4 linked regions of the Struthio camelus genome follow. The protein of the gene in region 1 interacts with the protein of each later gene in a pairwise test. Links are inferred from orthologs where the notes say so. Each region holds a gene or a part of one and is shown in the gene's direction. Other genes may lie near its edges.

Region 1 (7,100 bases):
TCCTTTTTTAGGGTATGAAATTCTTGCTGTATCATCTCAAATTGTCTTCCGCATTGGTACTGCAAAATATTCTTTGTTTTCTCTTACGTTTTGTTTCTGGTATCTCGCGCCCTGACTGTACAACCACCCACACCGTCAAACCATTCAAGCTGTTTCCACAGCGCTAACCACACAGAAGATGGCCTTGATAATGTGTGCACGCTGCAGCTTGGCATGCACAGCTGGGTGGCTGCAATTACAGAAGTTTCTAGGTGAACTGACCTTCATGTGCAAACACATGTGTTTAGATTGTACATTCTTTGTACAATCTAAACACATGTGCTCTTTGTGCAGAGGCTAGCTCTAACCAAGGGCTTGCAGAACATCTCACGCAGCAGTTTCCCAGTCTTAGCATGGGCACTAGGTACTAAATATGTAGCAGTGGAAATGTTGATCAGAGTAGTGTTTTTTTTCTTTTGATTCAGGTATTACATTGCTTTGCTTTGTATGAAAACGTGTACTCCCCTTATCATCATTTACTGTTTGAGCGCACAGTAAGTTTTCAGAGAATTTATTAGGTACTCCAGTGATTAGTGAAAGTATGTAAGTTTAAATGTATAAAATACTGTTTCTACTCAAAGGTACTTAACAGCAGAGTAACCCAGACACTTTGCATTCTGTACACTCTATCTTATTTGAATAATTGAAATGATGTGCATAAATTATTTGTGAAGAAATTAGCTTGTGATTAACCTAGCTCTGCTGTAAGATAGGGCCAGATCAGCAGATCAGGAAACTTTAAGTGAGGTCCTTTTGACATTAAAGGTATTGAACCAATTTAAATTTTTCTTAGCACATATTTTGCTGCAACTGTTTGACTGTTAGAAATATCTCTTAGGCATAGTAGAACTAGACCCACATATCAAGAATTCTTACTGGTAGGTTACTTGACTCAAACTATCACATGTTGTTGATGTTATCAGGGTAGAATATCCTACAGTTTATTTAAAATCAATTTAATCGAATTGAGGGTCCAAACTACTAACTTTTCTGAGGTTCACTTCCATAATTACTGCATGATTTGCCTACAGAACAGAGTTAAGGTTGTCTGGCTACTTTTGGCAGGCATTTTAAGGGTAACTGGAATCGCTCAGAATTTTTTAGGGGTCCTGCAACTATAGTTTTAAGATAATTAAAATACTCATGTTTTTACCCTTATATCCCTGACATATATTCTTAATGTTAACCGCCTTTTTACAAAGAATTTCTGTTGAGGAATACTCAGCTATACTACACAGTGGTACCCTACGTTTCCGTAGACTTGGTGTCACAGCTTTCTTAAAAAAAAAGTTCCTTAAAGTTCCTTTTCATTTATCCATAGTCCAGCAAGTGTTAGACAACTATTACTCTGGAGGCAGGCTTAGAAAGCAATTGTATTTGAGAAGCTAATCTCTGAGTGAAAGAAGTAAAGACAAAACCTTGTTTGACCTGTGAAATGTAAGGACATGCAAAACAAATGTAGCACTGACAAGGGACGAATGAGTTAAAATTAACGACCAGAAAAATCTGGTACCGCTGTAGATAAATACAATTTAAGATAGAGTTGGACCAACCCCTACGCTAGAGGGAAAGGACACTCTAAAAAGCTGAGAATGCGTGATTCTTATAAAGAGACAATTACATCAAGTATATGCTTTTAAAAGTAGTACTTGCTATAGATACGCTACATAGTAACTATGGGAAACTTTATCAAGATAAGCATATAATGTTTAAAAGTGTGACTGAGATACATTAACAGAAAATGCTAATACTTAGGTAAGTGATAGATTATTGTTCCATTTTAAAAGGCAGAGAATGGAATTTTATCCTCTAGATATTTCTCCAGTATGATATCTACCAGAATCAAAGCCAAAACTAACAAATAAAACTGATAATCCTGAAACAAGCTGTATATTATCATGTGGCTGAACTAATTTAAAACAATAATGACAACAATGATAGTTTAGGTTTGGATACAGCAAACTCTTTGATTGTCTATTGTGAATTAACTGTGACACAGTCAATATGATATGCTTTGTGGAGAATGAACATTTGAATGAAGGTCAAACAAATGCTCTGTTAAACTTGGCTCGTGCAAAAGTACTTGGGTGCCTATGTCTAGAGTTTAAACACTTAAACGCTTTGCTGAGCTATTATTCTGAATATCCAAATTTACTGAGCCAGTAGATTTCTTTGTATAGGTATATATTTAAAGGTATTGGTAGCTTTTCTGCTGTCATGGATGGGTTTAATAGGAAGAGAACCCCAGTTAGGTTCTCAGTTCGTTACAACCTATCTCAATTTGCTGACAATTTGAACAGTAAATGGCAAATGAGCAGGTCTGTAATAACGATCTGTAAGCTTCTTGTCAAAGCTATGATATCAGATCCCAGAGGAAATGTGTTACGTACTGCTGGTGTAGAGTTTGCTTTCATCTAGCTTTTCTGAAAGCACAGATTGATGGAAGTACAGTTCTGTCTTGCTTAAACATCTCTCTTCACGTTCCAGGTGAGTGGCCGAACCACTGAGCTGTTCATTCGTTCTGTGTCCCAATCAATTATTTATGCAAAGTGGAGCAACAGAAAGAAACTCGCCCCAGGATAACTTACAGCCCAGGGAGTGGGGCACGCAGGGGACATGCCATGATCATTTTCTGTGCATGACTACACAGTCAGGGTAGTTCCACTCCACTGCTGACTGGAGGACCCCCGAGTTGTGCTAGCAGAGCAGCCTGTGGGGCCGTGCTGGAGGCAGGATTAGAGTGCTGATCTGGGTTAAAACTACCCTTTTTCTCTTCTGAAGTGCAATTACTATTTTTACTCTGATGCAATGAAGTAAAGCTGCGTGAGATCTCTACAAAAGCTACTAACAATGGTCTCACTGAAATCCATATCAGAATGGGGGGGGAAATGAATATATTTTCAGTAATTGTACCAATATTCCAGCGACATCCGTCTCCTGAACCATTTTTTCAAATGGAAAGCGTGAGAAGGCTCGCTTTCCTAACCAGGAGAAAGATACGCATTTGACTGGATAGGGCGGACGGAGCGAGCAGCGCCCTATCCCAGGTCTGAAAGCGTTGTTCAGAGACAGCCGCCGCTGGCGGCCGAGAGATGGCAGCCTGGGAGCACCGCTGCCCTCCTAACCGCTCCCACGGCGACGGCGACGGCGACGGCGAAGGCGGGCGCGGCCGTTAGGGGCGTGGCCCGCCGTCGGCTGCCCTGGGCGCGGCCGTTAGGGGCGTGGCCCGCCGTCGGCTGCCCCGGGCGCGGCCGTTAGGGGCGTGGCCCGCCGTCGGCTGCCCCAGGCCGTGCCGCCAGCGTGCGCCTGGCCGCGTGAGGGCGGTGTGCCGGCACGGGCGGGGCTCGTGGCAAGGCGCCCGCTGCCCGGGCGCGTTTGCGGCGCTGGGCGCAGCATGACAGCTGCCTGGGGGCTCCCCAAAGCTCGGGGTGCTGGGCGGTGCCGGGGAGGGACGTGACAGGGGTTTGGGGGCTGCCGGAGAAAGGGCGGCTTGAGAACGGCTGCGGGGATCCGGGGACAGGCGAAACTCGCGTGCGAGGACGCCCGTACGGAGGGAGGGGGACCGCCGACACCGAAAAAGGCGCCTCTGGAAAGACGGGGAAGGGCTCCGAGGCGGCAGGCGGCGCGCCCGCCTGGCGGCCGGGGGCGAGCTGCGCAGAGCGGCGCCCCCTCGTGGCGCAGCACGGGAAGAGACGTCGCGGCCGAGATCGGGGATTTGGGGCTCGGCCGTTGCTGCCTGCCGCAGCTTGGCCTTGTGGCAGGCAGCACGAGCCGCTCGCAGCTCGCCGCCGGGCGGCCGAGCGCGCCGCCTCGGAGGCCGCCTGTCAGCAGCGGCGCGCATGCGCGCGCGGCGCATTCCTTTCGCTTCCTTGCGTGGCTGCCCGCGGTGGAGCCGGGCTGGGGCCGCTGCTGCTGCCACCGCCACCACCGCGTTGTCCTGCGCGGCGGGAGCGGAGACGGGCGCGGAGCGGGGCGGCGGGGGGAGGCGCCGCGCGGGCGCTGAGGGGCGGCAGCCCTGCCTCGCGGGCGCGGGGGGCCGCGGGGAGGGGGCGGCAGCATGTCGGCCGCGGGGGGCGGCTCCTGCGGGCCGGGCGCCGGGGCCTGCGGCGGGGGCGCGGGCGGCGCTGCCTCGCCGCCGGGCGGCGGCGTGTCCATGTTCCGCTGGCTGGAAGTGCTGGAGAAGGAGTTCGACAAGGCCTTCGTGGATGTGGACCTGCTGCTGGGCGAGATCGACCCCGACCAGGCCGACATCACTTACGAGGGGCGGCAGAAAATGACCAGCCTCAGCTCCTGCTTCGCCCAGCTCTGCCACAAGGCGCAGACCGTGTCCCAGATCAACCACAAGCTGGAGGTGAGGGGGGCTTGAGGCCCTCCGGGGGCGGCGGGCCTGTGGGGAGGGAGAGGTGGGCGCCACGGGGTTTGTGCCGTCGGGCTCGCGGTGGTGGCGGCGTGCCCTGCGCTGAGGTGTTGGGGTGGGCGAGGAGGGACTGGGAGGGATGTCCCGCCCGCTGCTGAGGGCCTGCGAGGAGATGCGAGCGGCTGCGAGAACCCTTCCTGCGCCTTGTGGCGGCTGGGTGCCAGGGCAGCGGCAGCTGGGGAAGGTTAACCCAGCTCTGAGAGGCTCTGTGCTGTCCCACAGGACTCGGGCCTGGCGTGCTGATCCTCTGGGTTTGATTATTACAGTATGAGCGTGAAGCAGTGCAAGCCAAAAAAGAGTTCTCTGAAGTTGAAAGCAGCAGCTTTTGTCTCTTGAGCAACAGATGCCTTTGGCTGGTCTTACATTTGCATCAGGTCCCTGGTGAATTCAGTAAGCTCTTTCAAGATGAGAAAAAGACGTATTACCAAGAGACTTAAAGCTTATAGTCAGTGGTCAAAATGAGAGTGTTATTCCAGCCTACAAGTAAATGAAACTGACAATGACTTATGGATGGATTTAACAGGTCCTCTTGTTCCTCCATGCTCCAAGGCAGATCAGATAGCTCCCTGCCTGACTTGGTCTCATAAAATTAGTAGTAGACATTGCACATTCTGTGAAGAAAATAATGCCTAGCTGTCTTTACTGTCAGAAAGTTTTCTTCATGTCTAATTGAGAACTTCAGTAAAGGTGGGAAGAGAGAAGCATCTGGTGGAGCCACGCTGGCTGGTGCTGATGCTGCTCAGGAGGAGGGGCTGCACGTCCTGTTACTTGCACAAGAGCTGGAGGACTGTGGAAAGAGATTCTGGGGAAACAGGGCGTCTCTGACTGCCAGAATGTTCTTTTACAACTGAATCATCTTTCTTTTAGTAGGTGTTGTCATTTGTCTTGTTCCAGACAGATATGGATAGCAACTGCCCTTCTTTCTGTTACATATTAGAAGATTGTTGATATGTCTTCCTTCACTTTTTCTTTGGGCTGAAAACCCCAATTTCTTTAATATCTCTTGTAGGCTGTGCTTTTTAGGGTTCTCTTGTTTCTTCTAGTAACTTCGGAATATACAGGAGGAACGGGAAAAACTTCTCAGAAGCTATGAAGATATGTCCTTTGTAAGAGCTTCAGTAGGCAAATAAACCATAGACTTCAGTTCTTTTAAACCTCCCTATTATATTTATTGTAATAAAGGAATTTAAGAGTCCTCAAACCATAACCTGCACTTCTGCAGTACTTTACTGAAGGAAGTGAAGTCAGTAAATTGGCTTTGGTTTTAATATGGTTCCTTCCTGATATGAAGGCACTGTTATGCAAAATTGTATTCGTAGAGTTTAGCCGAGAATTAAGATATTTCAGAGTAGAATAGAGACCCCCACAGACAAAGAGCTTTGTTCATTGCAGTCTTTATTTCACCAGACACTTACTGTAGTGGTGTTTGCAGTACTCTTTGTTTTTTGTTTTGCTTTATTGTCATACACGTTTTTAGTACTGGGTTTGTACTCTCAAGCTGTATGTGAGCTTAATTGTATAGGTGTAGTAAATTAAGATTTATGAGTTTATAGTAGGCAATCAGTATTTATTGCACCCACCGTGGGCACGGTGGGTGTTGTGCACAGACTTGTAAAACATATGAGTTTTAAGATTATTTTAAGAGAATGAGTGACGCATGGCAAATAGGTCTTTTAAAAGTTCTTTCAAGCTTAAATATTTTGAAAGGAAACAACAAAACTCAGATCCTGAAAGATATTTTGTTATCTAATTAAAATTGTCAGGGGCTAGGCACCTAATAACTGAAGGTCTGTGCCTCAGTCGTGAACGAGCTGAAGAGCAAAGGAGCACAGTTAGAACTTTCAGTAGCATCATGAGTGTATGTGTCTAAGTGTGAGAAATAATTCAGTGATAACAATGGTTTTGAGAATCTGGAGTGGGCACTTCAGAAGTGAGGCAAAAACCTTTTATTTTGTGAAATAGTTTTAATACTTGTTTTAGGCCTTATACATATACAGGAGTTTTTGTCATTTAGATAGACCTTTAGAAGGTATTGCCTTGCAGTATTGTCTTGAAGGCTGTTAATTTTATGACCTCATCATTATTAGACCCTTAAACTTGGAGTGAGAACTGCCATTTAAAATCTATAAAAGAACTGCTCTGTTGAGAACGAGTGTCTTTTTACATGCACAGGTGTCTAATCAGAAGCCTCTGGGTCCAGATTGAAGGATACAGTTACCAATTTTTGAAGAACTCATCAGGATTAATACTGGAATTTAAGATATGATAAGTGGATTTATGTTTTTTAAAATGCAAAGTGCTGTATCTCATACAATATTTCAAATTATAGTCATTTCTTAATAGCTCACAATAGTAATTTTACAGTGCTTGTACACTTTAATATGAAGTTTTCATTATGCTGGTGAAGTGTCATGAGCCATAGTTTACTTAGGTAACAAACATTTATTCAAGCCAATACATTAAATCTATCTTCAGAAATATGCCTTTTATTTGGATCAAAGTAATACTTTGACTTCAGTGTGCCAGTGACTGTTAGAAGCTAAGGCTTTATTCTGGCAGTTACTTTTTGCATACCATTGCCTTATTGAGAGTATGATATTATTTTGCAAAGGGAAATCAGTGTAATAGTAAAAAATTAGTAAAA
Region 2 (7,321 bases), on another chromosome or scaffold:
CCCAACAGAGTGAGGCAGACCCAGTTGCCATCCCTGTCAGAGCAGCACAGCAGCACCGGCTCCTGCACGTGTCGGAAAGCCCCAGAGCATTTCCCCAGGCAGCCACCCCGGCACAGTGTGGCCAGGGCTGATCCCAGCCAGCTGTGGGGCCTGCCCGGCCTGGAGATGTTTATTTGGGGAAGGCTGTAGCCGTTCATCTCGGCATCGCTGCATGCAGCCCACCACTAAGATCTGCACTGGCAGTTCTCGCTGACCTGCCCCTCCTGCCATGGAAACAGAGGGAACGGGGCCAGACTCCAGACAGGATGAACTCCTCCAGCTGTGTCTGGGAACCCGCAGCTCATATTTCACTCTGCTCCCAGATCTCCCACTCGGGTGACACCAAACGCGTGTCACACAAGCTGGAGGCGAGGGCTTATGGCCCCCCTGCTGCCAGCACAGTCTCAGCCCCTGAGCCTCCACCCTCTCTGCCCTCTGTCTCCCCATGGTGCAGCTTGGAGCCAGTGCTTCATCCCAGCTGACAGAGACTCTGTGCAGGCTCTGAGGTCCCCCGGTACCCTCTCGTCCAGAGATGGCTGCACAGTCTCCAGCACCAGACCCATCCCTTCCCAGCTCTGCTACAGGTTAAATGGCTAAAATAAGTAGTTTGAATACACCACCTGCGTAGTGCTGAGAGGCTGAAACTGGATGGAAAACCAGCCTGGCCTACCAGCCCCTAGAAGGTCAGGGGCTTCTCCCAGGCTTTGCCACATATGGATCACAGATGCCCCAGGCTGCAACCAAGCCACCCGCTTGCCCCGCTGCTGTGGCTCACAGAGGTTTGCAATGCCAACAGGCAGATGGGGAGGGCAGCTGTGCTGCATGGGCAGTGAATGATCCCAAGCGTCTTTCAGATTGCATTGCTGGGGCCAGGAGAGGCAACCCAAGCCTTCTTTCAGCAGCGTGGCAGCTCTGACCAGCTGAACTGCTCTGTGCCCTGAACCAGCTCGTCACTGCAGGCTGCATGGCCCAGACGCCAGACCTGAACCTCTGTTGTGGAGTGCTGTCAGCACGCCATGCTGATAAGATAAACTGAACATGTATGGAACGGACAAGGAAAGGAAATTCCACCTCCGGCGTGATCGTGTTATCCAGCCTCCTGCTGACTCTGCCTGACCCCATCACAGAGCCAGCATTCAGGCATCCCTGTAAAAACTTTCTGTGAAATGGATCCATAGCCCTTCTGTCTTGCAAAAGCCTCAGGAGAGCCACACTGCCTATATTCATGTGGATGCCCCCAGGCCTGGGCACTGGCAGAAGGGAGGATCTTGCAACCCCACACTCAGGAGCAGGTCACCAGAGCTCTTGGCAGCTTTCACCACATGAGAGCAATGGGACTAAGTGCCACTGAAGTGCAGTGTCCTGGGGGTCCTGCTCTGTCAGGCTGCAGGAAAAGGGATGAGAAGACCAGTATGGCCAGGCCTCTGTGCAGGTTTGCTGTGAGAGCTGGGCCGTCCTCCTGGACTGAACTGGCAGCTCACACAGCAGCATCTCGCAGGAAAGGTGCTCCTTCTGCTTCCCCCTCATCCTGGCCTAGCTCCCAGAACTAGGGTGGGATTTAGATGTTGATATACTATTAATAGATTTCTCCCAGGCAAAGGGACTAGATGTGATATGAAATTAACTTCTACGGGGACCATCATGTCAGTGAGATTATTGTGGTAGGCCCTTTCCGGTCTCCAGCTTAGTCCCCTCCTAGGTCAAGAGCTGCCAAATGAAGCAGGCCTGTGCCACAGAGACCTTGGACTGCCAAAGAGCAGGAAGGGCTCCATTTATAAGCTGCCAGATAAACAAACCTGGTGGGAGACCAGGATTTATGGAAGAGCTGGAGAAGGGCTGGGGGGGAGGGGTGAGGGGCGATCTTTCTGCTACATTTGCCCTGCCAACAACTTCTGCACAGACTAAAGAGACATGTTTGTTAGTAAGAACAGTAGGTTCACAGCCGGGTGAGTTTATGGCAAGCAGGATATAAATAAATAGAAGAAAAAGGACTTTCCCCACAAGGAAGCGTCGTTCTGCCCGCCTTGGAAAGGCTGCCCTTAGGCTTGATGCCAGTCAGAAGAGGGCTCTCTTCTCGCCAGAAATAAGGCCATATTGATTGCTTTCATCAAGGAAATGACTTGCTGATGTCCAAAAACAGAAAATTGAGGGTTTTTTGGAAGCCTAAATGTTTGGGTGGTGGGACTGCAGCCACCACCATCCCCAGAGCCCATCACAGCCCTGAAGAGTGGCACATGCAGGGCACATGTGGGTGAATGGGGGTTGCTGCCATTCTGCTTTTTATTGATGAGGAGGAAGGATCAGAGAGAGAAGGCATAGGACAGAGTCAGAAGCGCTAGCAGTATGGACAAAAAACCTAAAAGAGCTTTGAGGCGCAATGTTAACGGGGAAAGGAGTTGAAGCCTGAGCAAAGACACTGCCTTTTGTCTGACTTCTTCTATGTTCAGAAAACACAATTTTGCACAGGCAAGAAGTATTGCATCTGAGGAGACCCTGTCTCCACCCAGGTTCTCTTCCTAACAGTGATAAACTGCAAACCTGCAGACTTCAGCCAAGGCCTGAGATCAAAAGGGGAAGCATTCATGTAAGGGATATTAAAGCATTATATATGTGCTGCATTGGCACGGCTCTGCACAGGATAGGCTTAGGCTGGCATAAACCCAGAAAAGGAGTTGTATAGGTCATGAAGTGACACAACTAGGGCACTGAAGTGTGGAAGAAGTCAGAGAGCATTCAGCAGCGCTTCACTCTTTACTCCCAAAGATCAAGGACTAAGGCTGGAGAAATCAAGTACTCAAGTACTTTGGGACCTGCTGTGCCGGTCCCACAGTAAGGATGATACAGTGAACATGCTGAAGAGCAGCTCCATTCCCAAGGTGAGGCCATAGCCCTGGGACATAGGGGAACAGGCTCACATGCACCCCCTTCTCCTCGATTCGTGGCCCAGTGGTGCTCCCCAAAACTGCCTTTTGGTACCCCTTGACCATAGTTGGGTGCTTCTGAGCGTGAGGGTCTGTATGGACATGGGGCTGTGGTGTCTCACACTGGCCCAGGGCAACGACAGATATATCCCAAAAAAAGGAAAAGAGGGACTTACCTTGGCCTGTTCAGGGCACAGGACCCCTCTTGTCAAGAGAGTTCTTGGTGCACAGTCATGCCTCTGTCTATCATGCATCTGTGCCCAGGGTTTTACACTGAATATGCGGCATGCCTGCTTGGTTATCAGCCTCCAAGCAGAGAGCTCACTGCTCTGACTTTACCTCTTTCTCAAGAGCCCAAACACCCTACTCCCGAAATGCCAGGCTTCAGTCATAAACCTCCCTATTGCTTTGTTTTCCAAGCGGATAGAGCACTAGGTGCCCCAGCCAGGCCAGGTACTGTGACTTAGGACAAGAGCTGAAGATTTTCCAGCAGCAAATCCCAGCGCATCAGAACCTGGGCAGTTCACCGTGAAAAGGGGACTAGTTTCTCTGGTCAGCCAGGCTGGCCTTGCTAGGCAAATGGGAATGCACCGAGGACTGGGACATAAAGCACGTCCAAGTCAGGCAGGCACTGACACACAACTTGTTACCTGCTAGTTGGATTCCCTACCCAGCTCCTTACTATGTGGGGTAAGGCTTTTCCAACTGCACCTGCTTCCACATATGAATACTAACGTACTTAATGGGCTGCTAAGAGAGGGAAGGTTGTCGTTCTTGCAGGAAGAGGGAAAAACACAGCAAAACCAAGGCACCACATTCGAGTCTGTGCTCTGTCGCAGTCTGCTTTAAAGCAGTTTGCAAAGATGTGGGGGTCTCAGGCTCTGCATTGCACATAACTGAAGCCAAACTCTCTGGGAATAGCTATGGGAATTTCACGGGAGAAAACGGGCAAGTTTGCAGCAGATGAGAACAGGGAGCTGTCTCTAAAAGTGTCCCACACAACCCCAGAGACTTTTGCGTTTCACCAGTGAGCTCAGGTTGCTCTTTCAAAAAAGGTGAATGGTGACCTCTGGAGCTTTCCTACTTCGAGGCGGAGAGAGAGACCACTTGGGATATTAAATCAAGGATTAAAAGGCAGGTGAAGGAGGAGGCAGCACAAGGCAGAGCAGAAAGTCTGCTCTGGAGGGACGCACGCATCTGAAAGGAAGGCTGCAGCTACTGCTGTTATCTGAGCCCTGGCAGAGGAGGCTCCTCCTCTTCCTTAACTCTTGCAGAGTCAGGGAGTGAAGCCTGTGGTCCTGGGCTGCAGCTCGGGGCTGCCTGGTTTGCTGCGCACTGGGTGGGGGGAGCACTTCATGCAGGGGAGCCCCAGGGCTGTGTGTTGACGGAGGACCACAGCCTTGCACTGCCGGCAGGGCTGCGAGGTGGGAGACCACCCTCACCAGCGCCTAGGCTCTGCTCACTCCTCGCGCATTTGGATGCTCTCCCTGCCCCTCACCTTGGGCCATAGCTCGGCAAGGTGAAAGACTCCCAACCAGCCCCCTGCCACAGCCCACCGCAGCCAAGAACGCATGCCTGACAAGCCCCTGGCCTTCTTTCCTCTGCACTGCGGGCTGCAAGAAGTTAATTTATTTTTGGAAAAGCAGCTCTCAGAGTTTGTCTAATTCCATCCGCACCAGCTCCTTTCACTCTATTTTAAACCAGTTCTTACTGTGCTTCAAGTTTATAAAAACAATCACTGCTCCCTGATAAAAGCAGCCCTAATCCTCGGAGAAAGCAAGGAGTCACAAAAGCAGCATCTCCTCCAGGAAACTCTAGCTCAGCTGAAAAGTTCACAGGTAATTTACATTTCGTACTTAACATCTTTCTGTTCTTGTAACTGCTTTCTCACATGCGTGTTTAGCTATATAGACACATGGCACTTATATAGGTGGCATCCGGTTCTCTAGGGAGATGGAGCGCAGTTAGGCATTATTGTTACCTGCTACTTCTTTTGGGTTATTGGCAGGGGCCTTGGTGACCAGGGCACCTGGCAAGTCTTGGACTACGCGCGGACCTACATGGATCGTCCTGCTTGTTTGGGACAGAGTACAAGGTGCATTTTGCGAGTCAGGAGCTGGCCCGCCTGGAGTTCCAGGCAGAGAAATGTGGAAGGATTCAGTAGCTGGCTTTGCAAAGGAAAGATGATGGTGTAGGGCCAAGTGAGGTCTTCCCAAAGGCCAGGCTCTTGCTTTGGTACAGCCATTTAAAGGCTGCTCTGAAGGTTATTCTAATCCTGCGACCTCACCCTGCTCTAGACATTATCCCTCCCTGTGGGTCAGTCTGTGTGATGGCACCCTGCTTTTGTCCCTTTTATTCCTGGATTGATAGGAGGATAGTGCCACAGCTCTGTTAACTGTGGAGGGTCATTCTGATTACGCAGAACACTCAGCTGTTTAATGCAATTTCTCCATGACTCACCAAAGCATCCCACTGAAACTGTTTAGAAAAGCTCCCAGCATCGCTCACGCTCAGAAATCCAGGGCATTTACGGACCACTTTGTTTCTTTTAAATAAATGCATTGCAAAATGTTGCCTGACATAAACTACTGATCTCATTTGTTGAGCACTAAAGCTCTCAAAGAAGGCTTTGTCTTCCTTGTGCTGTGGTTGCTGGAGTTTCAGGGTTAATGCCTTCAAAAGCCCCGCCTTGGCAGCAGTGAAACAGTTACATTTCCAGGACAGTGAAACTGTGCAGGGAGAGGGAATAGGACTGCGAGTGCATTGCCAGGACAGGGCTTTGCTGATTCTCTCCTTTCCCCGCAGATTGCACGACCCAGCCCTGTGCGCTTCCTCTCTCTGATCATCAGCGTGGTCTTCAGGGCACTTACATGCGTCTGGGAAAAGAGGTGTAGCTTTGGGTTTTGGTACTGTGTGCTATAACTGCTGCTTTCCTAAAATCCATCCAGGAGCTGGTCAGCTTTCCCCACTGCCTTTTGATAAAACATGCATCGTTTCAGCTCTGAGTGGAAAAAAAAAAAAAAAAAAAAAAGGCAGGAAAATGAAAGTTCTTTTTTAGGACTGAACAAGGTGGTTTCTTCTGTAAATGTCACTTGTCAGGTGACCTGAGAGACAAGCAAAAGCTTTTGGATCTAAGGACCACACATCCCTATCTCTCCTGCTGCTCTGTCCATGTGTTTTGGTGGTCCAGTTTGCAGAGAAAGGGTAATGTGGTTGCTCTGTGGTGTATGCAGGCTAAAAATAGTTTCCTTCTCGTGCTTCATCTGAATGGGCAGCCACATATGACTGTACATGGATTTGTCTGATAGTCCCGTTTCAGTGTAAGAGACAAAATATCTTAGTTATGGCTTTGTTCTTCAGCTAACAATGGGTAGCTAAAAATATCTGACTTTGTTCCACTCAATAAAGTTCTCTCAAGGGGAGACACTAACGTTACATTTTTGCCAGATTCATGCAAAATGCAGCCAAAAAAAATTCACATTTTTGCCAACAACTTTTCATAAAACGTAACTAGCAAAAAAACTTCACACTGTTCTGCGAGTGGGGCTTTGCTCTCTGCTGTGCAACAGCATCCTCAGGCTCGTGGCTGCCCGCTCCCTGGAGGCATTCAAGGAGGGCAAAGCCTGGCTACGGAAGAGCCGCCTCCTCCTCTTCCTCCTTTTCTCACCCTCCCGGCTGGATTGCTCAGCTCCCTTCGGTGAGGGCCCGCACGCTGCCAAGCCTGCTGCTTTCACGTGGGCCAGTGCAGTCAGGCTCAGCGGGTAGGCGGCTAAGTGCCATGACAGTGGTGAGGCAGGGCGTCGCTGCCTGCTCGTGCCTGGCTGGGGGAGAGTGCCCGAACGCTGCTAGTGGCAGCTGTTTGGTGGTCGCTGTGGTCTCACTCCAATTCCTGTATTTCCCTCTTTGTGGCAGTCAGGCCTGGAGGCCAGCCAAGCCGGCCTGGTCCCACTGTGCAAGCAGTGTGTGTGCAATAAAAGCCTGGCACGGCCTGCTTCAAAGTGCTCACAGTCTGACAGCCAAGAGGAAACTAGCAGAGACCTCACTGGGCTGGCACAGGCTCCACAGAAAGGAATATGATGGGCCCTCCCATGCTCGCCCCCATCTCCAGCTAAAATCTCTGCCTCCCCACCGCTTCCACCCTGTCCCCAGTGCCTTCCCTCTAGCTGCCATGCTGCACCATTGGTAACTGTGCCCAGGCAATAGGTCAGTCAGGAAAGCAGGAGGCCAGGGTAGAAGGGCAGGGATGCCGGCAGAGGGGGATGTGCACAGTTAATGATAAATCGCGGCAAAGGCAGCAGCTTTGGAAGCTGCCTGGCCAAGTGATCCCATCCGTTATGCCCACAGGGGGCCGTGCTGGTCAG
Region 3 (7,854 bases), about 43 Mb from region 1:
CATCAAAAGCGTTCAGCGCTGCTAGCGCTGCAGCATCATTTTGCCGCTGCCCCGTGCTGCCTGGCCCCAGAGGACCGCAGCCTCCACCCTTGCCTGGCCTCCCCAGCTCCTGGCCTGTCCTGCCCCACGCTGCAGGTGCTGAAGGCAGCGGGGAGGAAGCATTTCACCTTTTTCCCTAGGGAAAATGCCAAAAGAGCAAAGCTGCCATATGTGTGAAGCTAGCAGGAGAAAATGGGCGTGAAGGAAGATGAGGGAAAGGTTTCACCAAAGAAAGGGCTCCCAGGAGCTTTTGGGAGAAAGGGGCTCGGACTGGTGGGGCGTTGCTTTAGGCTGCAGCCCCCACCACAGGATTAAGGCCTTCAAGGCCATGCCGCAGGCCCCCACTTGGACCGATTTGGCTGGGGCACAGGGAACTAACGCTGGGAGAGAGACTCCTGTCCTCACCCCCAGCTTCACTGAACCTTTGTGCAAACGGCTCAATAGCATCATAGTATCTGGCTTTATCCTGGGGCTTTTATTGGCATGGGGATTGTGAAAGAGTTAAAGGAGAGCCGATCGCCAGGCTGCAGGAAGAGCGGCAGGATTAGTCTCATCGAGGCGAAGGGGCTGTAGGGCAGCAGTTGCCCCGCTGGGAAGGTGGGCCTGGCCCAGCTGGGCGCACTCGCACACACGCAGCATCTCACGGCAGTCACCTGAGAGCAATTCAAAGGCGTGACTCACTGCTGCAAAGATAAGGCGCCCGGCTGGGTCCGGGCCCTGTGTACACAGTTAGGCCTTCCTAAAACAACAGGATTATCAACAGCAGAAAAGCCTCTGTGATCTGACAGTGCACGCTTGGGAAAAGCACTCTACTTGGTGAAAGGTGTTTGCCAAACTATGTCCAGAAACACTTTGAAGCAGAAAACCTCCGTTCTCTCTTGGATACGCTGGAGTACTTAATAAATAACTGTAATTAAGTGTGAGGTGGTAGCTTAAGAGTTTGTTCCCAGAAGTTAACATCAAAACACTTGCTCTTAGCACTTACAGAAACAATATGAAAGCAAACTTCTTGCACAGATGAAAGTACAGTTGTTGGGAAGCACTGAAGAGCCCTGGAAACATGCTGATTCTTCAGTGGAGGAGAAGGTCTTGGGAAGGGACAAAGTTGCTTATACAGTAAAAATGCAATTTAATGAATGGTAATAGCTATAGTGCCCGTTGGGACGGGGAAGTCAGTTTTAAAACAGGACACAAGGAACCATACGGGAAAAAAGGTTTGTACCCTTTCTTGGGCTCTTCTGCAGCTTCCCGTACCCCACCAGTGCCAAGCTGTCGTACTCCTGCTCCTCAGGGACGTGAGGACTCCCCGGGGCGCCCTCACTCCCCTGCCCAGCCTGGAGGCTGCCTCAGGTCACCAGGGCTTCGGCTGGCCCAGCCCACGGTGCAGGCAGCCACAGCGCTGCTAAGCTTTTGCTCACGGCTTGCAGTTCACGTTTAAGACGAGATAATTACTGCAGGTTTCTTCGTAGGTTGAGTGTGAACGATTTTGAAGGAGAGGTGCAAGGAGAAAGAGGAACGTCACTGTAATTCTCCCTTTTGATCTCAAATCAATTGTCGCGCCTTTAAGAAGGTGGCACAGTGTGATCGATACAGCAGGGCCTGGAAAGGGAGTCCGAGAGCAGGAAGTATAAATCCCAGGCTCTGCCACGCGCTTGCAAAGAGCTAAGTCTAAGGTGCTACCACGTACCCTTAACCCTCGCTCCTGCAAGCGCGCTGTGGAAAGCACTCCCGGGTCTTGGTTTCAGTCTCCTAATTGCTACAGAAACGCAGGAGCACAGGCAGCCACAGTCTCCTTTGCCTTAGAGTGATCCTCTCCCGCCCTGGAACCTGGGTTGGTCTTAATTTGTCTGTGGTTCAGGCAAGAACAGACTAGGCAGACACACATGTTATCTCTTGTTTTTTTGGAAGCAGGGAGCTTATTGCACAATGAAGCTCGGTCTGTACGTGGATTAAAAATGCATGTGTCTGGGGCACTGGGAGCCAGGCTGGCCTGTGTTATTTGAATCCAAAAAAACCCACAAAAACAACAACAACAACAAAAAAGTACTACAAAGGGCTGATACCAGAATGAAAAGCCTCCACAGGGCTGCTTACTTTTCCCGACTTTTCTTGTTCCCTTTTGCATGCGTGGCTCTCTCTTAGCGAGAGAGTTTATGCTCTCAGGCCAGAAGCAACGCTACCAAAGTCAATGTAAATATACTGTAAAACTTGCCTACTTCAACACTGCATCCGAGGGCTGTGGGGCAGGTGCTTGCGGAGGATAAGGTGGTGCGGATCCAGCCGTAGAAGTTCACTGACTGACACTAAGTGAGGGTTTGGCCTCAGGTGTGCTTTCAACTTCCTACACTTCTTACAGGGCTTTTAACTTGACGATTTACAAGTGTCAACTAATTGCATCCACATTAACTGAAGCCGAATATTAAAACAGCACTTAAACGTCGTTTCAAGTGAGTTGTTCCCAGACAAGGTCTAATGCAAATTTGGCAGGACGTGGTAGATGTGCCAAAATCATGTTGGAATAATGTTTGAAAACAACACTCAAAATGTTGTGCTGGAGCTGAAACATGAGGAAAGCAGGTATTTTAGGTTTAATGATGAACAGGAAAAAAAATATATATAGAAACAATTCTAGGAGTATGAGCAAGAAAGCTGGTCTCTACTAGCAAAATGCCCTAATACTAAAGCTACAGCATCTTTTCTCCTCACATCCTTCCCCCCTTTTTTCTGGCTGTCTTTCTGAACCAATTACTTTTGCATTCCTCAGTGCACAGTAGCTTCATTTCTACAAGACTACCAGCTTGATTTAAAACATGAAGAAACCCAAGGTTTATTATCCCCAATTAGAGCAGTGGTTCATGTAATCCAGTAGATACTGGGGCCGCCAGTAGCCGGTACCTGAGGAGAACTGGAGGCAGAAGAGCTGTCCAAGAGAGGTGACTAGCCAAAAATAAAACCTTTTGTTAAGGCTATTTTTATTACAATGTGTGTTTTTCTGCCTCTGTTCGTCCCTTAACGACTGCAGGCTAATTCCTCTCACATCTTGAACTAATTCTCTTCCCAGCAGAATCAAGCATGTGCAGATCATCTGTTTGACGTACAATCAAAGGAGAAAACAACGTCACAATCGCACAGTGCCTATTAAAGTAACTCACCCCCTCCCCAGCTCCTCGCTGCTAATGCAATGCAAATTGGAAGCACTGGTTTATTTTTATAGCCCTGGCCCCACCTCCTCCCAAGTTAGACGCCGCACAAAATAGGCCAGCTAATTTGGATCAAGCATTTCAATTGCCTGGAAAATGAAGGTGCTGAAAACCAAACAGCATCAGCAGGAGTTTTACTCCCAAACGCCTGGCTTGCCAGGTGCTAAAGACGTCTCACTGACATGCTGCTTCTTTTCAGACTTCCCCCAAAGTGCTGGAGTTCTCATCGGTGCTGCCTTTTCCTTCCCTAGGATGATAGCAGGGGTACAGGAACACCCATTACTCTCCGATGAGCTGCTGTGGGAGAATACTTTCTCCATGAGACAACTTAAATGGGACTTTATAGCTTGAAGTTAGATGATTTCTCCTTCCCTAACAGCAGGAAAGACGCTCTAAGTGCTGGATGAATCCTCTAGGGAAGATGGAAAATAAACATTTCACTTTTAATAGCAGCATTTTAATAATCGGTAAACGCACACAACTGCTGTATTTGCTGTGGCTCACCAAAAGTCCCTGTTCTTGGTGAGGACAGACCTGCCGCGTGTGCTCCTGCCACCTCCCAGCCTGGGCCAGGCGTTGACCTCCTAACGCAACACGCTTGAAATGGGTTGTCACAGCCCCTGCCCTTGAGCTTCTGCCATAAATCAGATGCCTCGATTCGTTACCTACCGCTACCGTGACATACTGCGGTTTGGATGCCCGGAGCGGCTCTGCAGCCGGCTCCTAGCAGGATGGAGGGATGCGCTAAAACAGAAACAGGAAGAAAAAATGGAAAAAAAAAAAAAAAGTGGTAAAAACGACTGTACACCCAGCCCAGCGCAAGCCGGGGCAGCGGACACGCACCGCACCGCGCCCGCCCCGGGCCCCGCACGGAGCCCCCGGCCGCCGCCCCGCACCAGGGCAACCCGGCGGGGGGGGGGGGGGGGGACACGCTGGACCCCGCGGCGCGGCTTGGCCCGCGGGCAGCGCGCTTTTTATTATCGTTATTTGTCATTATCGCTATTGTTACTTTCCCCCTTACCGCTTGCTCGGGCCCTCGGCGGCTGCTCCCTCGGAGCTTCCACCCCCCTCCTCCGGGGACCACCTCCACGACCACCTCCACCTCCGGCCCGGCCGGAGCGGCCTGGACCCCCCCCCCCCCCCCAAAACCCCCCGCGGCCGGGCGGCGGTCTCGAACCCGCGGCGGACGCAGCGGCGCCGTTCCCCTTTAAATCCAGCCGGAGCGGCGGCCGGCGGAGCAGGGAATCCCTATCGGAACACGTCATCCTCGGCAAGGAAACCCACACTCGCGTAGAGCGACGCAAATGACCATTTTTGGCAACGTGCGACAATGGAAGGGACCAAGCGGAGGGGCGGTGCGGGGGGGAGGAGGAGGAGGAGGAGGAGGGCGGCCGGGAGCGGGGCGGCGCCTGCCGGGAACCCGCCGGGCGCCGCCGCCGCGCGGAGCGCGGGGCCGCCGGGCGCCGCGGGGCTGCGGGGGCGGCGGCGGAGCGGAGCGGGGCGGGGCGGGGGGCGGGGCGGTCCCCCCTCCCCCCCCCGCGGCGGCGGCGGCGGCGGCAGGTGGGAGCGTCCGCGCTGGCGAGGTGGGGCCGGTGAGCCGGGGGTTTGACGTGTGCAAGTGCACATGGTGCGGCGGCGGCAGCGGCGGCGGCGGGGCCGGGCCGGATAATAAGCGCGCGGGGTTGACGCGGTGCCATTGCTCTGAGTCACCGCGGCCGCGCGGAGCGGAGCGGCGCGAGGCGCGGGCGCGGAGCTGGGCTGCGCTGCGCCGCGCCGCGCCACTTTTTGTAAAAGGGCAGCCGGGAGCCGCTGCGCCGCCGCGTCCCGCGCTCCGCGCCGCGGCAGGCGCGCAGGGGAGCGCAAAGGTGCGCGCGTGTGAGTGCGGGCGCGGGAGCGTGCGTGTGCGCGCCTCGGCTCCCCGCCGCGCCCCCCGCCGCCCTCCGCGCGCCGGGCAGCCCCTTGCCCGCCGCGGGGTTTCGCGGAGCCTTTTTCGCATCGCCGGAGCTTTTTAAAAAAAATTTATTTTTTTTTCCTTTTTCCGCCCAAAGTCCTTTTTTTTTTTTTTTCTCCCCCCCGCCCCCCCCCCTCCCCGGCGGAGCCCTGGGAAGGCGAGCGAGCGGGCGGAAAATAAAAGATCGGGCGGGAGAAGGGGGCGGGGAGACGGCGAGGGAGCGAGCGGGTGTCGGTGCGGGAAGGCGGGCGGCCCGTCTCCCCGGCCCCGCCGCGGACCATGTACCAGGACTACCCCGGCAGCTTCGACACCTCCTCCAGAGGCAGCAGCGGCTCCCCGGGACACCCCGACACCTACCCCAGCGGCGCCGCGCAGCAGGTAGGGCCGGGCAAGCCCCTTCGGGCCGCGAGTTTGGCGGAGTTTTCCGCTGGTTTCGGTGCGTGCTGGGCGGGGGGTTGGGGAGGGATGAGGAGGGGGAGCGGGGGGGGCGTGCGGTGCGCGGACGGCGCCGTCCCGCCGCGCGTGGGGCTCTGCCGGCGGGCGCGGGGCTGCCGGAGCCGCCCGTCCCGGCGGGGCAAGGCGGCGGCGCTGGGGCAGGGCTGCCCTGGAAATCAGAGCGCTCCCCGCAGCCGAGTCCTCTCCGGGGATACTAGTGGAAATACATACGCGGAGCTTATTCCTCCGTCCTCTTCGTCCTGCTTCTGTTCGCTTAGGTAGCTGCTGCTTCATTTTTTGTTTCTTCCTCCTTTCATCGTCGTTTTCCAGGTAGTCTGGCACTTTCAAATGAGCTGGCTCGCAGCAGTTTGGGCGTCTTCGCTGTAGAGTGGCTTTGAGAGGGGTTGTGTGATTTCAAGACGCTGTTGCGACCACCTTAAAACATACGCGGGCACCCCTTAAGCAGCCTTTATTTAATCTTTTAAGGCGTCTAAAGGGGTCTCCCTGCTTTCTGCCCCTGCCCCCAAACTTTCTGTCTGTGGTGGTGAACCAGTCTTTGCATTTCCCGTCAGTGAGACCTTCTAAACACTTACAGTGTGATAGTTTGCTTTTTCCTGCTGCCCAGACACTCCTTGGATTGCCGAGAGTTGCTGGCTGGTGTTGAGCTGTTGATCAGTTTTCCTGTTCTTTTGACCTTCCGAAAGCAAGTTTTTTTTTTTGAGACTTACATGATCTAGTTACACTCTGGGATAATACTTCTTTCCTCTTGCGAGCTTCTGGTCTTGAGTAATAAATGGAACTTGAAGAATGGAAGATATTTCCTGTTGAAACTGCATGAATTCATGGACCTAAAAGACTAGTAATTTTTTTTAACAAGCCTTTTCATTTTTTCTAAGAAAACATCTTAAAACAGCTTATATGCCTACACAGACTAAATCCTCCACTTCTGTGGAAGGCATTACACAATCGGGCCAGTTATACAAACCTAGGTTATTTCATAACTTGTTTACATCAGCTGGCCTATCCTCACTCTCTTTTTCAGAGTTGTACTCTTCCCCCCCCCCCCCATATTATTATTTCTTGTGTGGCTTGTATGGGTGAACTGGCAGAGTGAGCACATTTCTGTCTTCACATCAAGAAGTCATAGGATCATGTTAAAAAAAAAAAAAAGTCAAGAAAAAAAAAAAAAGTCCAGCATTAAACTTTGCCAACCGTACCAGCCCGTGACATTCCTCACATTAAAGAAGTTTTACCAGAAATGACTCTCCGCATTTCCCAGCCTGCTCCAAACGCATCTCGTTGGTGCCCTCTGTGGGCTGTGCTGAGGATGAAGATTTCCAGGGATTGTAGTTTGGAACCAGATTCTTCACTGTTCTACAGTAAATGCCGGGACAAGGTTGGGGGAGCAGGGGGGTGTCTGAGAAACTGAAAATACCTGACAAGGTGCAAATCCTTTGGTCTCTGTTTCCCTCTGGGGTTCACTAGATGCACTAGATTGAGGCACTTGTTTCAAGAGGTTGTGAAACTCTAGCCACGCTTAGCATTTGAGGTACTGAGATCTGCACGAAAGGGGCTGAAACTACTTTTCCCCCTTTTATATTTCTGGTGCTGTGTGGCTTCCCCAGGCAGCTCGCATGTGTAGCGTTTGATATGGGTGCCAGAAAGTAGTTTCTAAGGTTACTATCTTAATGGGGCTTTGAGCAGGACGCTGGCTTAGCAAGAACAGAAATGTTTTCTTTAAGAATCTGGGAGATTTCTCAAGGCCCTGTGCGTTGTCTTTCCCTTGATCCTTGCAGATGTTATAGATTAGGATCAAATGCAAGCGTTGCCTTTACCCTAGGAACTGGTCTGTTCTGCTGATTCTGGACTGTGGAGATCTGCAGAGTTTTATCGCTAGAGAAAATATGCATTGTAGAAATTTTTCTTCTTCTTTTTTTTTTTTTTTAATTTCCCAAAGCAAGAAAAGATGCATCAGTCACATGTTTAAGTGGAAATTGTGTCTCTGAGCCAAAACTTTGATGCTTTTTAATTATTTTTCCCGTCCAACACAGCGCTGGAACATTTTTCTTTTAAGTTGCGTGTCATGTTATATTCCTAATCATTGACTTGCCATGTGGTAAACATAGACTTTAAAGGGAATTTTGTGCGCTCTCTCAGACCAGTTGACTTTCCCCAGAAATATCCCAGTGCTGTGTCCAGTTTTCCTTCAAGGAGACACTCAACATGGGA
Region 4 (7,714 bases), on another chromosome or scaffold:
AGGATCACTGCACCAGGGGCTCCCTTTTGCTCTGCATAAGAGGTGCAAAGCAAGCAACAGCCCAAGGTAAGTTAATGCTGGTCGAGAACTGTATCTGTTTACTCAGCCTTCCAAGGTGTGTGTGAACTACTCTGTGCTTGGGAGTGAACACTTGTTTGTCCCTAACCAGCGTTGTCACCTGGCTGCCTTCCAGTTTGGTACCGAGCGCGGGACAAGGTGCTTCTCGTGGGGCTGAACGACTGCTCCTGAAGTGTGGCAGTCCAGGCCATGATTGAACCTCAGGTCCTGGCTCTGTGCCACAAACAGCAGAGTCCAGCACCTCTACAGCCTTCTTATGACGCAGAGGCAACAGATCACGGCCCTGCCCTGCCACGTGCTCAGTGCGTAGCCATTACATGTCCAGGACATTGCCATTCTGCTGTCCGCTTGGACAGGCGTGACGCCTGCTCTCTGATGAAGACAGGGAAACAGCTTGCATGTGAACAGAGATATCCTGGTTGCACGACTGAAACTGCACATACGCTCTGGCCATGTGGCTGATGTGTGTGTGCGCCCTCTTGGGACTGTGACAACCGTGTTTCGGTCATATCACTGTACCAATGAGGTCAGCGTAACAGGGAGAGACTGCAGGGCCCTTGTGAAAGGAGGCCACGGGTTTGCGAACTGCCAGTAGTGCACGGGTTGCAGTGATCTCCCTGCCCGGTGCTGGGAGACGCAGGACTGGCTGCGGGGACACATGAGAAGCTAGTGGTAAGAAATGGGAACCTGACTGTCCTGCTGAGGACCGCCAGATACTGCTTGCGCGCGGCCGGGCTTGAGAGCCCTGTGCTATGAGGATGGTCTTGGAAAGATGCTTGGAAGAAGGGGGCTGTGCCCTAATGGCCTAGAGCGAGGAGGAGGGTGGAAATGACAGGACTGGGTGCTCAGCTGCACTCCCTCGGGTTGAGGGGACCTGGTGGCTGGGGTGACAGTGAGTGTCAGCTTTGTCTCTGGCCTGAGAAACAAGTGCTCTGGTGCTGTGGTGGATCTGCTCCATCTGCACCGCACGAGTGTTGGTGCAGATAGCTCTTACTGTGTTGCTTGTAAGGCTCAAGCCTGTAAGGCAGTGCTCTATTTCAGCCCCTGGCAGTGGTGGGGTTGAAGGCACACCAGCGTCTCCATACTGGCAGGCAGGAAGGGCATTTCTGGGAAGCCTGTGGCCTGCATGGCTCACGCTGACCTTGGGGTGGATTTGGCAGCAAACGCTGCGGAGAGCTCTGGGAAAAAAGTCCTCACCCTGAGGCTGGCTCCAAGCCCAGGTTCTGCCATGGCATCAGATGACAAACACAGACCCGTCGGGTCCCCAGGGCTGTGGGATGGAGCCGGTCCAGCTCCCGCCTGAGCCCTACTGCTGCAGCACTCGGGCACCAGTAGAGCTCTGTAAGTCGGAGGCTCGGACCCAGGAGCTCGGACCTGTGCCACCCTACCCTCACTCAGAGGTTAGCAGGAGGTTGGGGCAGAAAGCACCGGTGCTGTGGGGAGTAAGAGAAGGCTGGACCGAGGCCCCAGCACCCAACAGCTCTTGGAGCAGAGACAGCAACTCCTGCAGCTGCTTTCTCTTGCCAGGAAGTGATGTGCTGAATTCAGATCATGCCTGTGACGTTTTCTTGGATTAATTCCGCCCTAATGGACTTTCCTGGTTTAGCTCTTTGCCTCTCTGGGCCTCACTGAACGCAGTGGCAGGCAAAGGCTGTGCGCCCACCACAAGCCCAACGTGGTGCCCATCAGTCTGTGTGCTAAGCAATGTCCAGAGACAACCCGACCCTCTTAACAGCTCCCCTGCCCCAAAGCTCAGCATACCCCAGCTCTGCCTCAGAGCGCAGCTCCGGGAATGGGACTTTGGTAAATGTTTCCTAACCCCACTGATACCTGCAGACTTGCAGGTGTTCCTCTTCTTTACCAGGCAGCTCTGCATACCCACACCAGTGCCGTCTGGTGTGAGCCCACCCCTGCTGTGAGATCCCCGTGGACTTCACGGCTGCCACAGCAGGAGGTCCAGGGCAATGTCCCTTCCAGCTAATATGCACCTTCTCGAACAGCCCGAAGCCCTGGCCGAGGACGGAATAGGGCGATGCAGATGCCTTCACACAGAGCACAGCAGCGGGAGCTGTGCACTGAAAGGCAGAGGGGACCTGTCCTGGAAAATAAGGCAGAGCAGCCAGCGGGTCGAAAGCCTGCGGAGGGGATGGGGATGGAAACTCCCCAGCACGGAGGCCCTCGTGGTAAGACGCGCTGCACATGAAGCTGGAGCAAGATTGTGAACTTTGGCCAGGCTTCCTCAACGTGCTGCCGAATGCCTGGCTTGGAGCAGGCTGGGCTTGGACACGCTGCCACGGCTGCTGCCTCGCCCCGAGGACTGGAGCCACAGGAGCTATCTGTCAGCAGGGCGTTAGGAAAAAGAAGGAGCAATGGCCCCTGGGACAGGGAGAAAGCAGTGGCAGCGATGCAGGGCTCTGTCAGCAGGAGGGCACCTGTGAGTGGAGCCAAGGGCTGAGCCCATTTAAAGCTGTTCTGGGGCTGTCATCTGCAGGGCGGACAGCAGCGCTGGGCTGGAGCGCCTGCTGCGCTGCCTAAGTCCAGGGCCTGGAGCGAGCTGCCGCCCGAGCCGGTGACCCAAGGCTCCTCTGTGGTCACCAACAGAAATGGTGTCACAGGGACAGCACAGAGAGCCCAGACGTAAAAGCTGCAGCAAAAAGGGACAAGTGGTGGAGCTCCTCCCAAGGCCGTACCTGGCCACGGGCATGCCCGCGCCAGCCCTGTTCAGCTTGATCAGGCTGGGCAGGGTGCTCCCCGCTCGCTCGCGGCGTATGGACGCAGAGGGGCACTGGCCGAGCGGCAGCGAAGGGGGAGCGGCGGAGCTCCTGGGCATGGGCCCCGTGGGCCGTGCCCAGCTGAGGGCCGGCTCCTTCAGCTGGTGCTGCCCTGCCCCTGCTCGGGGCTGCCAGCCCCCGGCACGGCGTGGTGCGGCCCCCCGCCCAGTGTGAAGCAGTGCAGAGGCCGCTGCCTTCTAGACCCGCTTGGAGTAGATGGGGGTCTTGTCTCTAAGCAGGAGTCGGGCACGTTTGCCTGCACAAACCCCGGTGTAGAAAGATCTGAGGCAGGTGCAGCTCATGTCAGGTGCATGGCTTCTCCCTGGGGTCTAGCTGTGTCGGGAGCCTCCATGTGAGTGCTGTGTGCCGTGGTTTGGGGTGGAGGGTGTTCGAGGTCCTGTGAGCAGCCAGAGGAGGGGAATTGGGGGGATGTTGGTGGGGTGCATGGAGGAAATTGCTGCTGTGCATGGGCGGGGGGGGCGTACATGCAGGGGCAGGGTCTGCACGCATGGAGCGATGTGGAGGGGAAGGTTGCTGCTAGAGGAGGGGGTCTATCTAGGGTGGGAGCCGTGTCTGGGGCGCACGCTACGCCGGGGCCAGCTCCGGGGAGGGCATGCTGGGCGCTGGGCTGGGCTCTTTGCAGACTCACCTGTTTTCTGCCACCAGGATCTGCTCGAGGAGTTTTCCTGCCTGGCACTTGGTCTCCAGCTCCGCTGTGTTCAGCAGGTTCAGCAGCAGGTCCAGGCCACCCTCCAGGCGGATCGCATCGCACAGCGCTTTGGCCACATCCCTCCCCAGCGTGGGCATCCCCCAGGCTTCCTCCACCAGCTGGAAGACCTCTGCAAGGGCCCTCCTCAGCTCCGCTGGGCCAGCCGCCTGCTTGGCGGAGGAGATGGCCAGGTGCAGAGCAGGCAGGATCCGGTCCAGGGCCACCTGCACATCCATGTTCACCCCGGGGGAAACCTCACGGTGCTCCCTGGAGCTCCCCCCACCTGCCCACCAGCCCGGCTGGCTCACGCAGTCCGGCACCACCAGCCTCTCTGTCCCTGACATGGCGAAGAACCGGCACAGTTTATAGACGGAGACGAGCAGGGTGAGCACCATCAGCAGCTGCTAGCACAGCATCCTTGGTCCCCCTCGTGCTGGGAGTGCCCGGGCAGGGCTGCCGTGCTTCTTGGGGAACCGGAGCTGGTCGGAGGAGATGGCAGGGAGGTGGAGGAGGGGGGACGGAGCTGGCCAGGAGTCCAGCCGCTGGGCTGGGACACCGGCTCCCTCTCCCCTCCCTGCCCTGCCAGGATGCGGAGCTGGAAGCAGTGGCAGGAACCGCCTGCCCGGAGCCAGGCTCAGCATCTCCAGTCCCCAGGGACTGATGTCACCCCGTTCAGGCACCGCCTCTCCAAGGAGGGGCTCGCCAGCAGCATCCCCCTCCTCGCCGCAGATGCTCTGGCATCCTCCCAGACCCCTCCTTCCACCGCAGCTCCTGTCACAGCCCTCGGCTTGCCCAGCCTGGGCTCAGGGCCTGCCTGGCGCTCCTCGCCACCCCGTCCCCCCTCACCCAAGCTGCCGGGCAGCCGGCAAGCAGCTCCCCGGCGGGCAGGGGCTCCTATGCTGCCCGCATGGCCAGGCTCTGACCCGAGGGACCACAGGATGAAAACAAAGGGCTGGACCACGGCTGGTTGTGGTTGCACACCGGCAGTCCTGACCCTGCATTTCAAACACATTTTGAATCGGTGCAGTGGGCTGAATAGCTCCCCTTGCCGTGGCATGAATCCTGAGCGGCCTTGCTGGGTGGGCTCAGGATTTGCATTATAAAAGAAAGAGCAGAGGCAGCCTGGGCTGCTTTATTTTTTTCCAGGCCAGACGTGCTCAGGGCAAAAATGTTGTGGACGCTTCTCGCCTGTGTTGGGAGGAGCAGCTCAAATCCTTGGCTCCAAAGCCAGGCTACTGCCAGCTCAGACTAAGGCTTAAATTCAAGTTGATGTTTTGATGCCACAGAGTCTCTTTTAATCCTCTCTCAATCCACATGCAAGGGACAGTCACGGGAAAGCGACATTAGCTCACAGCGAAGGACGGTAAACAAGGCGATCCGAGCGGCATGGTACTGCAGGAGACGCTGAGCACAGAAGCAGTAAGGATTTTGCTGATAAATTGCTATTAACCGGGGGTGACACTGATGCGGGCTGCTGTGATGCAGTGCAGCAGAGGGGTTTGCTACCTCAGAGGAGGGTGTTGTTCAGAGGGGCAGAACTCAGATCATTCCTTTTAGCTTTTCCTCACAAGCTCCTAGAGCTTGTCTTTTCTTTTCAGGATGGATTTTTAGCAACACCAGGCTGGGCTCTGTGTCCGATCTGTGTTCCCAGCCTTGCCCTGGGGAAATCGGCCCGTAGCCTGAGCTCTCTTGGCTGGCTTTGCTCCCCTCAGCAGCAAGGGACCCCCCAGGGCCTGGTTACCCTAACCCTGGTTACCCTAACCAGCCCCTCTCCCAGGGGTCTCGTCCCACAACAGCTTTGAGCGTGGCCGCAGGGAAGGGCTCGCCCGGCGCCCAGGTCTGCGGTTGCTGGTGGCCAGGAGGCTGACGCTGCGGGGGGCAGCTCCGAGGCTTTGTCTCTGCCCATCAGCCAAAGCAGCACAGACGTTGCTGAGCCCCTCTCGTTGCAGCCTCCCTCACCTGCGCAGAGGGGACAGGATCCCCCTCCAGCCCTGCTCGTTCTCCAGCCTTACTTTGCACGAAGCTGTAGTGCAACGCTGGGCTGGTGCTTGCATGCGGGGACGATGCCAGCCCTGACGGAGCAAACAGCAGGGTTACGAGGCTGCAGAAGTCCTGTCCACACAGCCTGCTTCTGGCAGCTGTCCTCAGCTCCCCAAAGCTTTCCTGGCAGGCAAACATACCTTTCTCAATACCAAATCCAAGGTCTTCCAGCAAGATTGGGATCAGCCAATGCCAGGAACTGCCTGTGCCTGACCTGGCAGAGGCAGGGCCCCCGGAAAGGCAGGCAGCGGCACCCGCCAGCCTGCTCAGTTTCTTCTCTCTGCAAATCTCTTGTCACTTATTAAAGCTCAGAGCTGTGACACCGCTGCCCCAGGGCTGGGGAAGACCCCTGCGGCTCTCCTGCCCCAGCAGTGCCGTGGCAGTGCAAACAGCCAGAGCCAGTATCTCTGTAGCCTCAATGTGCATTTGCTCCTTAACCCTGATTACATAACCATCCCGGAGTTATCAGAAACTGCAGAAAGAGCTGAGTTGACATTAATTAGTAACTGAAAAGATTGGCTGGAAAGGGGATAATGGGAGCAAAATACACAGGCTTTTATTTGTCTACTGCAGTGAAAGTGCACAGGACTTGCTTCCCCTCCCTCCAAGCTGTTCACCTCTGGCCCCTGGTACCCATGCACAGAGGTGGCATCTGTCCCATCCTAGGCTGCCACCTCTTGGTACTCCCCAGTACCAGACACTGAGAAAGCAAAAATCTCTACAAAACGGTGATGTTTCAGGCAAGTGTAAGCCCAGGGCCTTTTCTTTTGCCCTTTGAGCTCTGACCATCAGCGGGATCCTTGTCTCTCCCCACTCCCCCTTAGGCTTTTCATCCTGCCTAGACCAGGCTGGGAAATAGCCTCCCACTGAGACGACCGGTTGGGAGCTTTAATACCGTGAGATTTGCTAAGAAAAAATTGTGGCAAGGCCTGAAAAGTGGTTCCTATTTCTGACCTCCTGTCTCCCCCGGCTCTTTGAATGCGTGGCCAGCCTGCGTGCTGGCCGGGAAGGCGCAGACAGCGAAAGCGTGGACCCTGGGCTAGACCGCGCTGCGCAGCCAGGGAGCCTTGTCCCCATCCCACCCAGCCAGCTTGGCCCGGCGCCGCGGAGGAAGGCCGGGGGGGGGGTGCATCTCTGCCCCTTTTTCCCTCTGCTTTGACCTTGGCCTGTTTGTTTTCTCCCGCTGGGGCAGGCTGAGTAAACGGTGGAGGCCGGGGCTCCGGCTCTGCCGCGCTGCAGCCCGCACACTTGCAGGAGGGCTGCGCTCCCGGCCGGCCAGGATGAGGCTGCTCTTCCCTGCCCTCTTGCTGGGCCTGCTCGCCGCGGCCCGTGCTGCTGAAGGTGAGTCTGAGCTCTCGGCCAGACGACCCCGCTCCGGGCGCTTGCCGGCACCGGGTTACAGCGAGGTTGGGGACGGAGCGGACCCGGCTGTTGGGCACTCAGAGTGGCTGGGGGAGCTCAGGCAGGGTGAGGAGGGAGACAGGCAGCATGTGGGAGCCCCAGCCATCCTGCTGTGTGGGGCAAAGCCGAAAGCGGGCAGCACAGTTTGTGGGCGTCAGCGGTGCCTCTGGTGTCTGGGGCGAATCCCCGGCCGGGCTGCGGCTGGGTCGCGGGGAGCCAGCACGCAGCTCGGATCGTGGCACAGCCCCGTCCGTGACTCCCATCCCGCCCCAGGGAGCCAGGGGTGGGGAGCAGGGCGACAAGGGAGCCCCTGGGGCTGGGGGAGGCCGCAGAGAGGTGAGGTGTCCCTCGAGCTGGACTTGATGCTGTTGCCTCTTGCCCCCGGGGCTGGGGAGGGCCGGGGAGGAGAGGTGCTGGCCATGCTGCCTGGCCCACGTTAGTCCTTCCTCGCTGGCTGGTGGCTCTTCCAGACTCCTGCGTGGGCCACTGTGAGGATGGCTTCGATGAGAAGCGGAAGTGCCAGTGCGATACCCTCTGCGTGTACTACCAGAGCTGCTGCAGCGACTACTCCACCGCCTGCAAAGCCAAAGGTACCGGCCCTGCTGGAGCCCTCCGTCCCCAGCTGCCGGCAGCGAGGGGGCCGGCTGGGCAGAGCGGGGACCTGGGGGGACGCAACCCTGGGCTGCTGGTGCAGGGCCAGCTTGGCGCACATTCA

Evidence for each region.
Region 2: the proteins of GOPC (region 1) and MYOCD interact in binary tests that used the Homo sapiens proteins (3 or more experiments, as listed by UniProt). The two-hybrid records come from large-scale screens. The link is inferred for Struthio camelus from reciprocal best matches to the Homo sapiens genes GOPC and MYOCD.
Region 3: the proteins of GOPC (region 1) and FOSL2 interact in a two-hybrid assay, tested with the Homo sapiens proteins (2 studies listed by BioGRID and IntAct). The two-hybrid records come from large-scale screens. The link is inferred for Struthio camelus from reciprocal best matches to the Homo sapiens genes GOPC and FOSL2.
Region 4: the proteins of GOPC (region 1) and VTN interact in binary tests that used the Homo sapiens proteins (3 or more experiments, as listed by UniProt). The two-hybrid records come from large-scale screens. The link is inferred for Struthio camelus from reciprocal best matches to the Homo sapiens genes GOPC and VTN.

The regions. Positions count from the first base shown.
Region 1 is NC_090944.1:64,707,587-64,714,686, reverse strand, and holds the start of GOPC (Golgi-associated PDZ and coiled-coil motif-containing protein), read left to right. Parts: upstream 1-4,096; coding exon 4,097-4,390; intron 4,391-7,100.
Region 2 is NC_090960.1:14,175,110-14,182,430, forward strand, and holds the start of MYOCD (myocardin), read left to right. Parts: upstream 1-4,320; 5' UTR 4,321-4,798; intron 4,799-7,321. UniProt on the Homo sapiens protein: Smooth muscle cells (SM) and cardiac muscle cells-specific transcriptional factor which uses the canonical single or multiple CArG boxes DNA sequence. Acts as a cofactor of serum response factor (SRF) with the potential to modulate SRF-target genes.
Region 3 is NC_090944.1:107,909,200-107,917,053, forward strand, and holds the start of FOSL2 (fos-related antigen 2), read left to right. Parts: upstream 1-4,851; 5' UTR 4,852-5,469; coding exon 5,470-5,568; intron 5,569-5,856; exon of another isoform or gene 5,857-7,854.
Region 4 is NC_090957.1:16,421,313-16,429,026, reverse strand, and holds the start of VTN (vitronectin), read left to right. Parts: upstream 1-4,707; 5' UTR 4,708-4,977; intron 4,978-6,790; 5' UTR 6,791-6,878; coding exon 6,879-6,939; intron 6,940-7,469; coding exon 7,470-7,589; intron 7,590-7,714. Other genes in the region: NAD(+) hydrolase SARM1, read right to left, coding at 3,499-3,953. UniProt on the Homo sapiens protein: Vitronectin is a cell adhesion and spreading factor found in serum and tissues. Vitronectin interact with glycosaminoglycans and proteoglycans. Is recognized by certain members of the integrin family and serves as a cell-to-substrate adhesion molecule.